Linked DNA regions of Oryctolagus cuniculus. The protein of the gene in region 1 interacts with the protein of each later gene in a biochemical or structural test. Links are inferred from orthologs where the notes say so. Each region holds a gene or a part of one and is shown in the gene's direction. Other genes may lie near its edges.

Evidence for each region.
Region 2: of the proteins of RRAD (region 1) and PRKACA, one has a biochemical effect on the other in vitro, tested with the Homo sapiens proteins (2 studies listed by BioGRID). The link is inferred for Oryctolagus cuniculus from reciprocal best matches to the Homo sapiens genes RRAD and PRKACA.
Region 3: of the proteins of RRAD (region 1) and CAMK2G, one has a biochemical effect on the other in vitro, tested with the Homo sapiens proteins (2 studies listed by BioGRID, with this or other methods). The link is inferred for Oryctolagus cuniculus from reciprocal best matches to the Homo sapiens genes RRAD and CAMK2G.

Annotation. Positions count from the first base shown.
Region 1 is NC_091449.1:49,756,844-49,761,256, reverse strand, and holds the start of RRAD (GTP-binding protein RAD), read left to right. Parts: upstream 1-1,490; 5' UTR 1,491-1,673; intron 1,674-1,878; 5' UTR 1,879-1,893; coding exon 1,894-2,269; intron 2,270-2,897; coding exon 2,898-2,971; intron 2,972-3,088; coding exon 3,089-3,293; intron 3,294-4,136; coding exon 4,137-4,413. UniProt on the Homo sapiens protein: May regulate basal voltage-dependent L-type Ca(2+) currents and be required for beta-adrenergic augmentation of Ca(2+) influx in cardiomyocytes, thereby regulating increases in heart rate and contractile force.
Region 2 is NC_091447.1:62,974,381-62,978,096, reverse strand, and holds part of PRKACA (cAMP-dependent protein kinase catalytic subunit alpha), read left to right. Parts: intron 1-1,444; coding exon 1,445-1,543; intron 1,544-2,346; coding exon 2,347-2,429; intron 2,430-3,716.
Region 3 is NC_091446.1:64,901,927-64,906,415, reverse strand, and holds the start of CAMK2G (calcium/calmodulin-dependent protein kinase type II subunit gamma), read left to right. Parts: upstream 1-1,532; 5' UTR 1,533-1,664; coding exon 1,665-1,729; intron 1,730-3,078; coding exon 3,079-3,173; intron 3,174-4,489.

The DNA of each region.
Region 1 (4,413 bases):
CACGGGACTTCATCCAGGAAGCAAGCGGCAGCATGGGGCTGTCCAGATCTCCAAGTTCCCTCCCCCATGTGGAAGGCACAATTGGGCAGACCACCCCGTGGCCCAGCTCTTATCTATTTTGGGGACCTCGTGAGTAAGAGGGCCCTCTAACCTTTACTAACCAGGCCATTGTCATTCCAAGGCCATCGTAGGTGTTGCTAAGGAAACTGATGCAACAGCCTGAGAGCCTGGACCAGGTCTCCATGACAACCTGTGACAGCTCACCAGGGTCTATCTGTGATGTCACCTGAGTCCCGAGTGGGTGCCCTCCCACTGCCGGCATACTCATCACAAACATCAGAATCCAATGGCAGTTTCCTGCCACAAAACACTTCAGCCTGTCTGTCCCCAGTGCTCACCCCAGAGATGAGCGCCCTGTGGGGCGGGACGGCTCCTGAAGCCCAGGTTATAGCTGAGCCCTCTGAGGACGGGAGAGGAGAGACTCGGCAGGCTGGAGGCAGAGCCTGCACTGGAAACCAAGCTCTCCCCTCCGCCTCCGCCCTCTGTGCCCTGGTGCCCACCCTCGGTCTGATGTGGAGGGGGACTCTGGGCAGTGCTGGCACCAAGTGGCAGCCCACTCCTGACTCTGTTCACACCCCTCCTGGGTAGGAGCCTGGACCTCCAGGCCCTGGCTGTGCCCTGCACGGCAGGCTGCCTGGGGGACTGGAGAGATGGAGGGAGGTCTTGAAGACTGTGGTGGCTGGCCCTGCTGGCATCCCAACCGCATCGGCCTGGGTTTCCCCAGCATGGGGCAGCCTCCAGCCCAGGAGCGGAGTGACCAGGAGCAGGGTCATGGCCAGGGGCAGATATTTTTAGCAGAGTTGCTGGCAGCTGCTTGGGGGGTGCTGGGAGGGAGGAGGAGCAGAGGCTGAATCCATCCTTTTCCCTTCTCCGGCAGTGTCTCCACCCCAGGTTTCAGAGCCCACACCTCGGCTGCAAAACATGGCCCCAGGGTGGCCTGCTCCCCACCCAGCCCTCACCCAGAAAGGCAGGCTCCTGAGGGAGAACTTCCGCCTCCCAGGACAGGGAGGGAGGGGAAAGGACTTGGTGTCCAAGCTAGCCCTCAATTTCGCTCCGATCTGAGTGATCCGTGGGGAGTGATTGTGCGCCCCATAACTGCTCTACTTGCTTGGACCATGAGCCAGGACCAGGAGAGAAGGAGACCTCACTCTGAAAGGGCCAGACCTAAATCTTCCCCAGTGGGGAGCTGCCGCACTGGACACAGCTGGTCCAGTTCCCCCTGGCCCGTCCCCTCCCATCGTGCCCCAACACAGTCCCTCTCTTTCTCCCTCCTCCCTTCTCCCCCTCGCCCCCCCTCTCAAACACAATCACACCAAGCCCCGGCAGCTCTCCGCCCCGCCCCTGGAGGGCGGGGGGGGGGGGGGGCTCAGTGTGAGGTCCCAGGAGGAGGGTGGGGATTCCCCGGGCGGGGGTGGACACGTCAGCCCCCGCAGCGGCGTGGGCCGGAGGCGGGGGCGGGCAGAGGCTTAAATAAGAGGCTTCGGAACCAGCCAAGCTGAAACGGCGGCGGCCGCAGGGGCGGGTGGAGTGCTTGTGTGTGTCCGATCCCGGGTGTGCGAGGGGGTTGTATTGGAGCCCGGATCCCAGTCCTGACTGTGTCTGTGAGCGCGTGGGTGAGTGTCCTGACAGCGCGGGGTGGCCACTCCGTCTGGGTTGCGGATGGGCCGCGGGTTAGGGCTCCAGGATCCTCGTGGCGGGGAGTGGACTGTGGCGGGTCCTGGGCGCCGAGCCGCTTGCCCGACTCGAGGTTGGGCAGGGGCAGCTCGGGCCTCATCTCCCGCGCGGCTTATGTTGCCGTCCCGCTTCTCCGTCCCCCAGACGGCGTCGGACGCGATGACCCTGAACGGCGGCGGCGGCGGCGGCGGCGCGGGCGGGAGCCGCGGCGGGGGCCGAGAGCGCGAGCGCCGTCGGGGCAGCACGCCCTGGGGCCCGGCGCCGCCGCTGCACCGCCGGAGCATGCCGGTGGACGAGCGCGACCTGCAGGCGGCGCTGGCTCCCGGCGCCCTGGCGGCCACTGCGGCCGGGGCGGCGACCCAGGGTCCGAGGCTGGACTGGCCCGAGGGCTCCTCCGACTCGCTCAGCTCGGGGGGCAGCAGCTCGGACGACAGCGTGTACAAGGTGCTTTTGCTGGGGGCGCCTGGCGTGGGCAAGAGCGCTCTGGCGCGCATCTTCGGCGGAGTGGAGGACGGGCCTGAAGCAGAGGCTGCAGGTGAGGGGATGGGGTCACCCAGGCGAGGGGGCATTCCCAGGGTCGTGACAGACGGCGCGTGGGGCGTGGGGGTGGTCTGGGGCCGGGGACCTGGACCGGAGGTGGCAAATACCGCGGAACTCTGCCTTTAGAATCATGCCTCTAGCCACTCTTTTTCAAGGAGGCGAAACTAAGGGAGAAGAGAACACCTTTGGCAGGGGACGAAATACCAGCGGCGAGGGCCCCAGGGTGTGGATGCTGCAGCTCTGTGGCAAAGGCTGGGCCATCCCTCCTTGCCAGGCTGCCAGGAAGAAAACCAGAGGGAGTTTGGAGGTGGCCAAGGCCCTCAGGGGGTGTTACAGTCACTCTTGTAACTCAGCTGCTGTGGTCAGAGCCCGCAGGGTGAGGCAGCAGTGCAGGGAGCGCCCCAGCCAGGACAGGGCCTACCTGGGGGCATGTCGCTGGAGGTCATGGGTGCAGTGCCCTCCATCCCCCAGCTCCCAGCCCTGTCACCCAGCAGTGGTTTGCAAGCGGAGGGGGAGGGGCCCCTTAGGGGGAGTTGGAAGGTGTGGCCTGAGCAGGAACCCCCCCACTGTGGGGAGGGCTCTTGCGAGTCAGGTGGTAACCTGGCTGCTGACCTTCTGCCTAGGGCACACGTATGATCGCTCCATCATGGTGGACGGAGAAGAGGCGTCACTCATGGTCTACGACATTTGGGAGCAGGTAGGATACAGGCTGAGACCCAGGGTGGGGTGGCAGGGGCCTGCTGGGAGTGACGGGCTCGTGGCAGGGGCGTGAAGTCCTGGGAACCACGTGTGAGTGTGTGTGTGTGTCCTTCAGGATGGGGGCCGCTGGCTGCCCGGCCACTGCATGGCCATGGGGGACGCGTATGTCATTGTGTACTCCGTGACCGATAAGGGTAGCTTCGAGAAGGCGTCAGAGCTGCGGGTGCAGCTGCGGCGGGCGCGGCAGACGGACGACGTGCCCATCATCCTCGTGGGCAACAAGAGCGACCTGGTGCGCTCTCGCGAGGTCTCCGTGGACGGTGAGCAGGCAGCAGGTCGGAAGGGGAGGGAGGTGCTGTCCTGGGCTGTGACCCAGTCCATCTTGGCTCAGCTTGAGTGTCCGGGGATCATCAGTGACTAAAAATGTCCAGGAAGAAAACCTGGAGGGGCGGGAGGGCCGGGCAGGGGAGAGCTGCTGCCCACCCACAGGGCTGCGGGAGGCGGGACAGGACTAGAGGGAGAGCCCAACTTGCTGGGGGCGCAGGTGCCACTCAGGCCTCTCCTCGCCGGCCCCTTTAGCCCTGGCCTCACGGGTGGGCTGGGAATGCGTAGAAGGCAGTGCAGGGCACCAAGCCCGCAGGTCGGAGCCTGGATGCCAGACCCAGGCCGGTCTTGGAGTAGGCTTGACCCTGTAGCCCCCAGGACCCAGACCCTCAGAGGAGCCCAGTGGTTCCTCCTTACCCATGGCTTGGCCGTGTTGCCCCCAGGCCCCCGTCCAGGGAGCCGTCACTTCATAGACCACCATCGTGTTATGATGTCCAGTGGTAAAACGCTTAGCACTCCAACACTGTTCGGGTTTTCTTGTGTTTGCGACCTCTGCACTTCCCTTTAAATATTAGACTCCAGGTTGCTGCAGCACATTAACCAGGGGTGGGGACCCCTGATTTGGGGACTGCTTAAATGTGGGCACACTCTGTCTGTGGGGTGGCCCTCGGCCTGAGTCTCTGGGTTCTCTGTGCCTCTCGGGAAGACCCCGGCACTCCCTGCCCTTGCCTGCAGACTCCGAAGTAACAGCTGCCAAGGGCAGCTGGGGTCCGAACGGGCTCCGGAGCCACCCTACCCAACTCTGCTGACTGGCACGTGTCTGTCCCCACCCACACCAGAGGGCAGGGCCTGCGCCGTGGTCTTCGACTGCAAGTTCATCGAGACGTCGGCCGCTCTGCACCACAACGTCCAGGCCCTGTTCGAGGGCATCGTGCGTCAGATCCGGCTGCGCAGAGACAGCAAGGAGGCCAACGCCCGGCGGCAGGCAGGTGCCCGGCGGCGGGAGAGCCTCGGCAAGAAGGCCAAGCGCTTCCTGGGTCGCATCGTGGCGCGCAACAGCCGCAAGATGGCCTTCCGCGCCAAGTCCAAGTCCTGCCACGACCTGTCGGTTCTCTA
Region 2 (3,716 bases), on another chromosome or scaffold:
AGTGGAGGATGGCCCAAGTGTTTGGGCCCCTGCACCCACGTAGGAGACCTGGAAGAAGCTCCTGGCTCCTGGCTTTGGCCTGGCACAACCCCAGGCGTTGCTGCCATTTGAGGAATGAACCAGCGGATGGAGGTCTTTGTCTTTCCCTGTCTCTATAGCTCTGCCTGTTAAATAAATGGATTTTTGAAAAAGAAATTTTATTTGAAAGCTAGAGTGTCAGAGATAGGGAGATCGCTCATTCCCCAAATGGCTGCAATGGCCCGGGCTGGGCCAGGCCAATCGCCAGGAGCCAGGAACCCCCATCTGGGTCTCCCACATGGGTGCAGGGGCCCAAGCCCTTGGCCCATCTTCCACTGCTTTCCCAGGCGCATTAGCAGAGAGCTGGATCGGAAGTGGAGCAGCCAGGACTCGAACCGATGCCCATATGGGATGCTGGCCCCAATACTGACAATTTTAAATTCGGTTCGCCAGCCCACTGGCCACACATCCAGGGCCCTCACAGTGCAGGCCTCAAGGGTCCAGCTGCCTGAGTCGAGGCAGGAAACACCCCGGCTGGGTGCTTCACAGCTAACCGGGGACCTAGGCCACCTGTGTGGGGCGCACTGGCCTGGCGCTAGCCGGCTGTGTGACCTTGGGCACGTCCCCTCCCCTCTGTGCCTGCACTTCCAGACCGGCGTGCTCCCAGCATGCCCCTCTCAGGGCTCCTGTCACCACTGAACCAGAGAGCCCGGGTGAGGCTCCGGCTCTGGCTCCTGGCCCGCGCTGTGCGGGGAGAGCCTGAGGCCTGGGCACTGTGTGTCGCTGGGCTAGATAAGGGGAAGGCAGCGTCTCCTCCTTTCTCTCTTTTTAAATCTTTGCTTGAAAAGCAGAGAAAGAGCTCCTGTGCCCACCATGGCCCCGCCTTCGGGCTGGAAGCCAGGAGCTGGGAGCCAGGAGCTCCATCCAGGTCTCCCACGTGGGCGGCAGGGGCCCAAGCACGTGGGCCATCTTCCACGGCTTTCCCAGGGAGCTGGATCAGAAATGGAGCACCTGGGACTTGAACCGGTGCCCCAACTTGGGATGCAGCCCTCCAGGGGCGGCCGCTTAGCTCACTGTGCCACAGGGCCTGCCTCTGCTTGCCTTTTATTTTTCTTTGCAGCTCAGCTGCCCCTTCCTCCAGGAAGCCACCTCTGATTGCGCCTCTCCCCACACTACACCACGGTGCCTTATTTGGGTTTGCACCAGCCCCAAGCCTCCCCCTGTCCCAGCATTGACCTCTCTGGGCTGAGAGTCCTGGTGTCTCATCTTGCTGTGTGTGTGTTGAGCCAGGACAGGCTTGTGAGCCCAGCCCAGGGACCCTCAGCTGCAGGGGTCTGGGGGACCCGTGGCAGGGATGGGGTGGCCCTCCCACCGGCTCCCTGACCCTGACCCTGACCCTGACCTTGACCCCGCTCCCGGCCCGCAGGTGGTGAAGCTGAAACAGATCGAGCACACCCTGAACGAAAAACGCATTCTGCAAGCAGTTAACTTCCCGTTCCTCGTCAAACTCGAGTTCTCCTTCAAGGTGAGGTCCTGGGGCCAGGGCCGGGGCCGGGGCCGGGGCCGGGGCCGGGGCTGGGCCTGGGGCCGGGACTGGGACTGAGGCCGGGGCCGGGGCCGGGACTGGGGCTGGGCCTGTGGCTGGGGCCGGGGCCGGGGCTGGGCCTGGGGCTGGGGCTGGGGCTGGGGCTGAGGCCTGGGTCGAGGCCGGGGCCGGGGCCGGGGCTTGGGCTGGAGCACAGGCTGGGGCCGGGGCCGGGGCCAGAGGCTGGGCCTGGGGCTGAGGCGTGCTTAGCCCCACGGCAGCCTGTTTCCCACTCCCATCCATCCCGGGCCAGGCAAGCCAGGGCTGGCATCTCTCCCCTCCCAGCCTCCATCTTCTCTCCTGTAACCCGGGAGTGGTTAGGGTCATGGCGACAGGTTCCGGCACATTCCCTGCGAATGCCCTTTCTCCTGACCTGTCTTAGGTGCAACTTTGTCCAAGGCCCTGCCGCAAGAGCCGGGAGGGCCTCTTCCAGGCCAGCTTCACGGGGCGTTCGACCCAGGCAGGCGGTCACAAGGACCTGTGGTCATGGGGGGGAGGGGGGCTCTGCCATCACCATCTTGAAATTCATCTTTTTTTTTTTTTTTTAATCCTGGTTGCATTTTGCTGGGGGGCCCTGGTAACCTTCCTCTGTCTCTAAGACGCAAAGCCAATGGTAGAGCCCTCCCTCTGCCCAGGAGGGGCACGCTGGCCAGGGCCCCCTGCCCGCTCCCCCGGGGGGCACCTGTCAGGGCAGGCGGCACCTGCACCAGGGAGCCAGACAACTCAAACTTGGCCTCTCACAGGACAACTCAAACTTGTACATGGTTATGGAGTACGTACCCGGCGGGGAGATGTTCTCACACCTGCGGCGGATTGGGAGGTTCAGGTAAGCCGGGCCCCGCCCCCTGCCTCGGCCCCGCCCCCGGGGGATGGGATCCATAGGCTGCCTGCCTGTCCATCCCAGCGGTGGGCAGCCTGCTGGGGCCTGGAGCTGGCCGCTGTGGGCTTTGTCTTCTCTCCGTTCTGGCATCTGACTCCTGACCCAACTCGGGGCGGCTGAGGGGTGAAGCTTCACGCTGGCCGGCTCCATCCGGGAGCTCCATCCGGGTCTCCCACGTGGGTGGCAGGGGCCCTGAATTCCTGAGCCGTTGGCACCTGCTGCCTCCCAGGGTGCGCACACGCAGGGACCAAGCGTCTGACCCAGGCGTCTTTAGCGGCCAGGCCGGATGCTCGCCCCGTCCCCCGCCCTGCCCAATGCGCCTGGGAAGCATCCGCTCACGACTCCAGTGCCCGGGCCCCTGCCACCCACGCGGGATGCGGCTCCTGGCTCCTGGCTTCTGCCCAGCCCCAGCTCTGGCTGCTGCAGCCACTTGGGGGAGTGAACCAGTGGATGGGAACTCTGTCTCTCTCTCTCTCTCTCTCTCTGTCTCTCTACCTTTCAAATACATAGATAGATAGCAGACATAAAGGGACCCGTGATTGGGCTTGGTCTGGGTTGGACTTGCCTCTCCCTCTGCTCCAAGTTCGGTCTCAGAGTGTGTTTGAATCTAGCCAGGTCACGGAGTGCATTTGTAGTGTGTCCTGTAGGGGGCAAGATAGCGCCCATCGGACGTACCCCGATCTGTGGCTCTCCTGCTGGGCCGTGCAGGTGCGGGGGCCCAATCACTTGGGCCATCTTGGGCTGCCTTCCCAAGTGCATTAGCAGGGAGCTGGATCGGAGGCGGAGCAGCTGGGACTTGAACCAGTGCCCATATGGGATGCCGGCATCACAGGTGGTAGCTTAACCCACTGAGCCACACCACCTGCCTCTGTTTTCTGTTTTTTTTTTTAAGATTTATTTATTTGAAGACAGAGTTATAGAGAGGCAGAGAGAGAGGTCTTCCATCTGCTGGTTCAATTGGCCGCAACAGCCGGAGCTGCCACCAAAGCCAGGAGCCAGGAGCTTCTTCCGGGTTTCCCATGTGGGTGCAGGGGCCCAAGCACTTGGGTCATCTTCCACTGCTGTCCCAGACAGAGAGCTGGATCGGAAGTGGAACAGCTGGGACTCGAACCAGTGCCCTTATGGGACGCTGGTGTTGCAGGTGGCAGCTTTATTCGCTATGCCACAGTGCCGGCCCCATGTTTTCTGTTTTTTTTTTTTTTAATTTATTATTATTTTTTTGAGGCCAGCACT
Region 3 (4,489 bases), on another chromosome or scaffold:
ACACTGGGCAGTCTGGTTTTCAGAGCGGCACCCAGGGCTGTTGGGTAGGGAAAGGAGGGAGCCAGCCCTGAGAGCTTTGCTCCACCCACCCCTCTGGGAGGCAGCTCGGAGGGCTGGGGCGCCTCTCAGCTGCCTCCTCCAGGCAGAGCGAGCCTGCAGACAATGGAGGCCTGCCTCCCAGTGGGCGTCCTGCTGTAATCAAGGCTGAGCTGCTGCAGTTGGCTGAGCGCCATCCTGCCCAGTAGGGGCTGGCACTGGACTTGGGGTACAGCTCTCTCAGGCAGGGTAGAAAACTTTCCAGCCTATTTCTCCTCCATTGAGAATTATGTGTCTCTGTCCCACCAACCTGTCCTCGTAGGGACAGAAGAAGGGGTGATAACTCCCTTTAACATTCTGCAAATATTTACTGAGTCTGGGGCTGAGTATATGGTGGTGAACAAAGGAGGCAGAGGCCTTGCCCTATTGGAACCTATAATTTAGTGAGAAGGCAAATATTAAACAAATTATAACAGCAAACAGTTCTATTTAGGTACCAGGTACTATTCTAAGTGCTTTATGTGGTTTAGCTCATTTAATGCTCACAATGCTATGAGGTAGATACTTATTATTATTTCTAATTTCAGATAAGGTAACTGAGGCAGACAAAAATTAAGTAACTTGCCCAAGTTCACACAACTGGCCACTGAGTTGCCAGTCTGAGCCTGGTGGTCTAATCTGAGTTCCCTCTTGAGATAAATATGCTGTAGTTCTACTTGTCTCTCACACCAGAAAATCCACCCTGCCACACAAGTGCAGGGTGCTCTGCAAGAAAATGGGGATGTTTTCTCCATCTTTCCATTTGCTTTTGTAGTGCCCAAGCACGGAGCCTTTTGAAAGCATTACCGCACCATCCCTTTCATTCACTGGCCTGAAAGAGCACATTCTCTCATCTCTAAGATCCAGCACAGGAAGGCACAGCTCCACCTGTATCCTTGTCCCTGGCCTGGTCGCTCTGATCCAACGGCACCTGATGCGAGTTCTCCTAATAATGGCCCTGGTGCTTGCCCAAGTCTAGACTGTCAGCTCCACGACCTCAGGCTGCTAGCAGCTGGCTCTGCACCAGCTGGGCTGTGACTCGGGCTGCTTGACCTTGGCACGCCTTGCACTCGAAGTGAGCCCTGGGTGGGGATGGGGGGAGACTTGGGACCCCGCCTGGGGGGGGGGGCCTCTCCGGAGAGCTGGATGGTCCAGACCCTTCCACCACTCCTAACACGTACACCCTTGCACACACATTCCCAAGCCCTTGCAGGGTGGGCTCCGGGACGAGTCTACTGGTCGCAAACCTCTGTCCGCTCTGGCGGGTGCCCTGGAGCTGGGACCCCTCCTCCAGGTTCTCTAGCACGCCTGGCCCAGCCCGGGCGGCTCCCGGGCAGGGCGGGGCCAGTGGCGGGAGGCCCCACCCCGGGGGCGGTCCGGGGGCCGGGCGGGGGGGGGGCCGGCGAGGCTGGGGGCGGGGCGGGCGGGCGGGCGCGGGGGTGTCCCTCCCTCCCTCGCTCTCCCCGGTAAAGTCTCGCGGTGCTGCCGGGCTCAGCCCCGTCTCCTCCTCTTGCTCCCTCGGCCGGGCGGCGGTGACTGTGCACCGACGTCGGCGCGGGCTGCACCGCCGCGTCCGCCCGCCCGCCAGCATGGCCACCACCGCCACCTGCACCCGCTTCACCGACGACTACCAGCTCTTCGAGGAGCTCGGCAAGTACGGCCCGCCCGCCGCCGCCCGCCGCGGCCCCCCACCCTGCCCCCGCCGCCCGGGCGCTATGCGGCTCCTCGCCCCGCCCCCGGCCCTGCACTGGCCGCTGCAGCGCCCCCTCGGCCCGCCCCACCCCCAGCCTTTCCCGCCTGCTGCCTCCGGAACCCCCGCGACCCCCACTTCATGCCCCGCAGCCCCCTTTGCGCCCCGCAGCAGCTGCGCGGGCTGCTGCACTCCGCTCTGCCGCGGGGACTGCAGCCCCCCAAACAGCTCCTGGGCGCCCTCCAGCCCCGCCCCTCCCTCACCCTTGCCCCGACCCCTCCTGCTCGCCGCCCCCTCCCCACCCTGCTCCGGAGCTCACTGTGCACCCTGTCCCCACGTCCCACGCGCCTGGCACTCAGGACCCTCCCCAGCCCTGCAGCTTCAGACCCGCTGCGGTGCCTGGGAGTGGGGGGGATGTTTGGTGGCCGGCCCCGCCCCCCCGCTAGTGCCGCTTCCAGGATCCCAACCCCGCTGCTGGGCAGCGCTGCAGCACCCCCGGCCCCTCCCCCCACCCCTGCAGTGGTCCCAGGAGCCGCGCGCCGCAGCCGCAGCATCCCCCTCCCCTTCGCACTGAGCTGGCCGCTGCTGCAGCCCCGGCCCCCCCACCCCCACCCGCGGCGCCGAGCCCGGCCACTGCAGCCCCCGCCCTGCCCGCCCCCCAGACGTTTCTAGAGCCCGGGAGTGCGAGCTCCCATTTGGGGGGACGTAGAGGAAAATATCATGGGGAAAGGGCGCTGTTGATGTCAGACTCACAACTGTGTCCTCTCTTTTCCTTTGCTGTCAGTTGAGCTGGGATGCAGTGGGATGAAGCCGTGTGTGTGTGTGTGTGTGTGTGAGCGCGCGCGTATGTGTGCGCGCGTGGAGGGGGATTGAGCCTCACTTTCCCCATGGCTAAGAGGGATTTTTCTCTCAGAAGATTGATTATATCCTGTTTTTGACCTCTCCTTCCCCTACCTTCAACTCTTCCTGCTGAGAAGGACAGGGTCTCTGTGTTTCCTTCTCTCCCCTGGTTGTGTTACCCAGGACCCAGGGTTATCAGTGAGATGCAGCAGGTGTGTGTTTTAAGCATCGCCCACTAGCTCCTGATGTGCAGCCCAAAGCTAAGGCTGCTGTCTTGCCGGGGGCCTCCATCAGGGGTGGGAGCAGGGTGGTACTCCAACCACGTCTGTGCAGTGTCACGAGGTGGTCACGGCTCGGTGTGTGAGTGTGGCTAGAGGTCTGGTGGGGGGAGCATCCCTGCCCTCAGACCTGAAGTGTGTCTGTGTCACACTGCGCTGCTCCGTGTCCCAGTTCTTTCCCCCTTCTCCCTCCAGGGGTGCTTTCTCTGTGGTCCGCAGGTGTGTGAAGAAAACCTCCACGCAAGAGTATGCAGCAAAAATCATCAATACCAAGAAGTTGTCTGCCCGAGGTGAGCATCCCTCCTTCTTGGCCTCTCCATAAGGGGTCCTAGGGGATGTGACTCTTTGAGAAGCTGCCCCAGGAGTCGGGCGCTGTGTGTTTTAGCACTTGGATGAGAGTTGAAATTTCAGGGTGGGTGGACTTTGAAGCAAGACGAGGAGTTGCACTGGGGAGCTGAAGTGCTCAGGTTGAAAAGACAGAAGGAGACGTAGGCAGCGCGGCTCTGCCCTGGTCCCTGAAGGCTTGAAGGAGTTTGGTCTTTAAAGAGGGGGAGGGGCTGGAGGGTGGTGTGTGGTGTAGAACGGAGAACTCTTAATATGAGGCACGTGGAGCCTCTGTCTTTGAGGCTGTAGTGGCCATTGCAGGCCTGTCCTGGTCCCCGTGCCCTGGTGGTGACTTAGGATAGACGGGCAGTGAGTGAGCAGCTCTGACGGACCCAGCCTGCCCTGCCCACCAGGCGGCAGAGCAGACTCCCAAGGGAAGGGAGTCTGTAAACATCAGGGGAGGCTGCTACTGGCGAGGGCTTCTCGGGAACAAATCCTGCCAGATGAACTTGATTGCTTTTTTGATCAAATTACAAAGTTGGTGGTGCAGCAAGCAGATGTCGTCTGTCCGGAGTGGAGGGTGATGCCTCATGGTCTGCAGATCCCAGTGGCCTGGTCTGGGCAGGAGCTGCGCTGCCTTAGGCTCTGAGGAGCAGAAGGGCTCAGGCCTTGGAGCCTCACCTGTGAGATCCCCCGTAGTACCTGAGGCTGGGAGGGTCAGGGCCGGTCTTTCACACCTCGAACGTATGCTCTCTGAACCTTGTACTGGGTGCTTGCCAAGTTACCTCATCTGATAGGTGTAGACCCAGCCGTGTGTAAAGTGCTCTGAACAGAGGCTGCTGAGTATGGAGGTCAGGTCCCAGAGGGTTGCAGGATGCAGCTGAGGGACAGAGGTCATGACACTCAGAGGAGGGAGTTAGGGCTGGGCTAAAGGATGCCACAGGTGTGTTAGGAACCAGGCCAGATGCCCTGGGGAAGATATGGGCTTCGGCCAGTAATGACGTGGGCATCTCTGGGGCGAGAGATGTAATAGATGTTCCCAGCACTCAGAGAAGCTATGAAATTCCAGAGAGGACAGTGGAATTCTGACATGTTGGCAGGTGTTCTAGGACTGTTTAGCAGGGTCCTCTGCGCCTGCCGGCTGGGGAGACTCTCCGTCCCACCAGCTGGGTTTGTGCTGCCTCCTACCCAGTCCCTCTCTCTTGCTGTTCATGTGTACATTGGCTGTAAGGTTGACTTGTTTATTTTCTTTCTCTCTGGGTACCTTAAGTCCAAGACGATG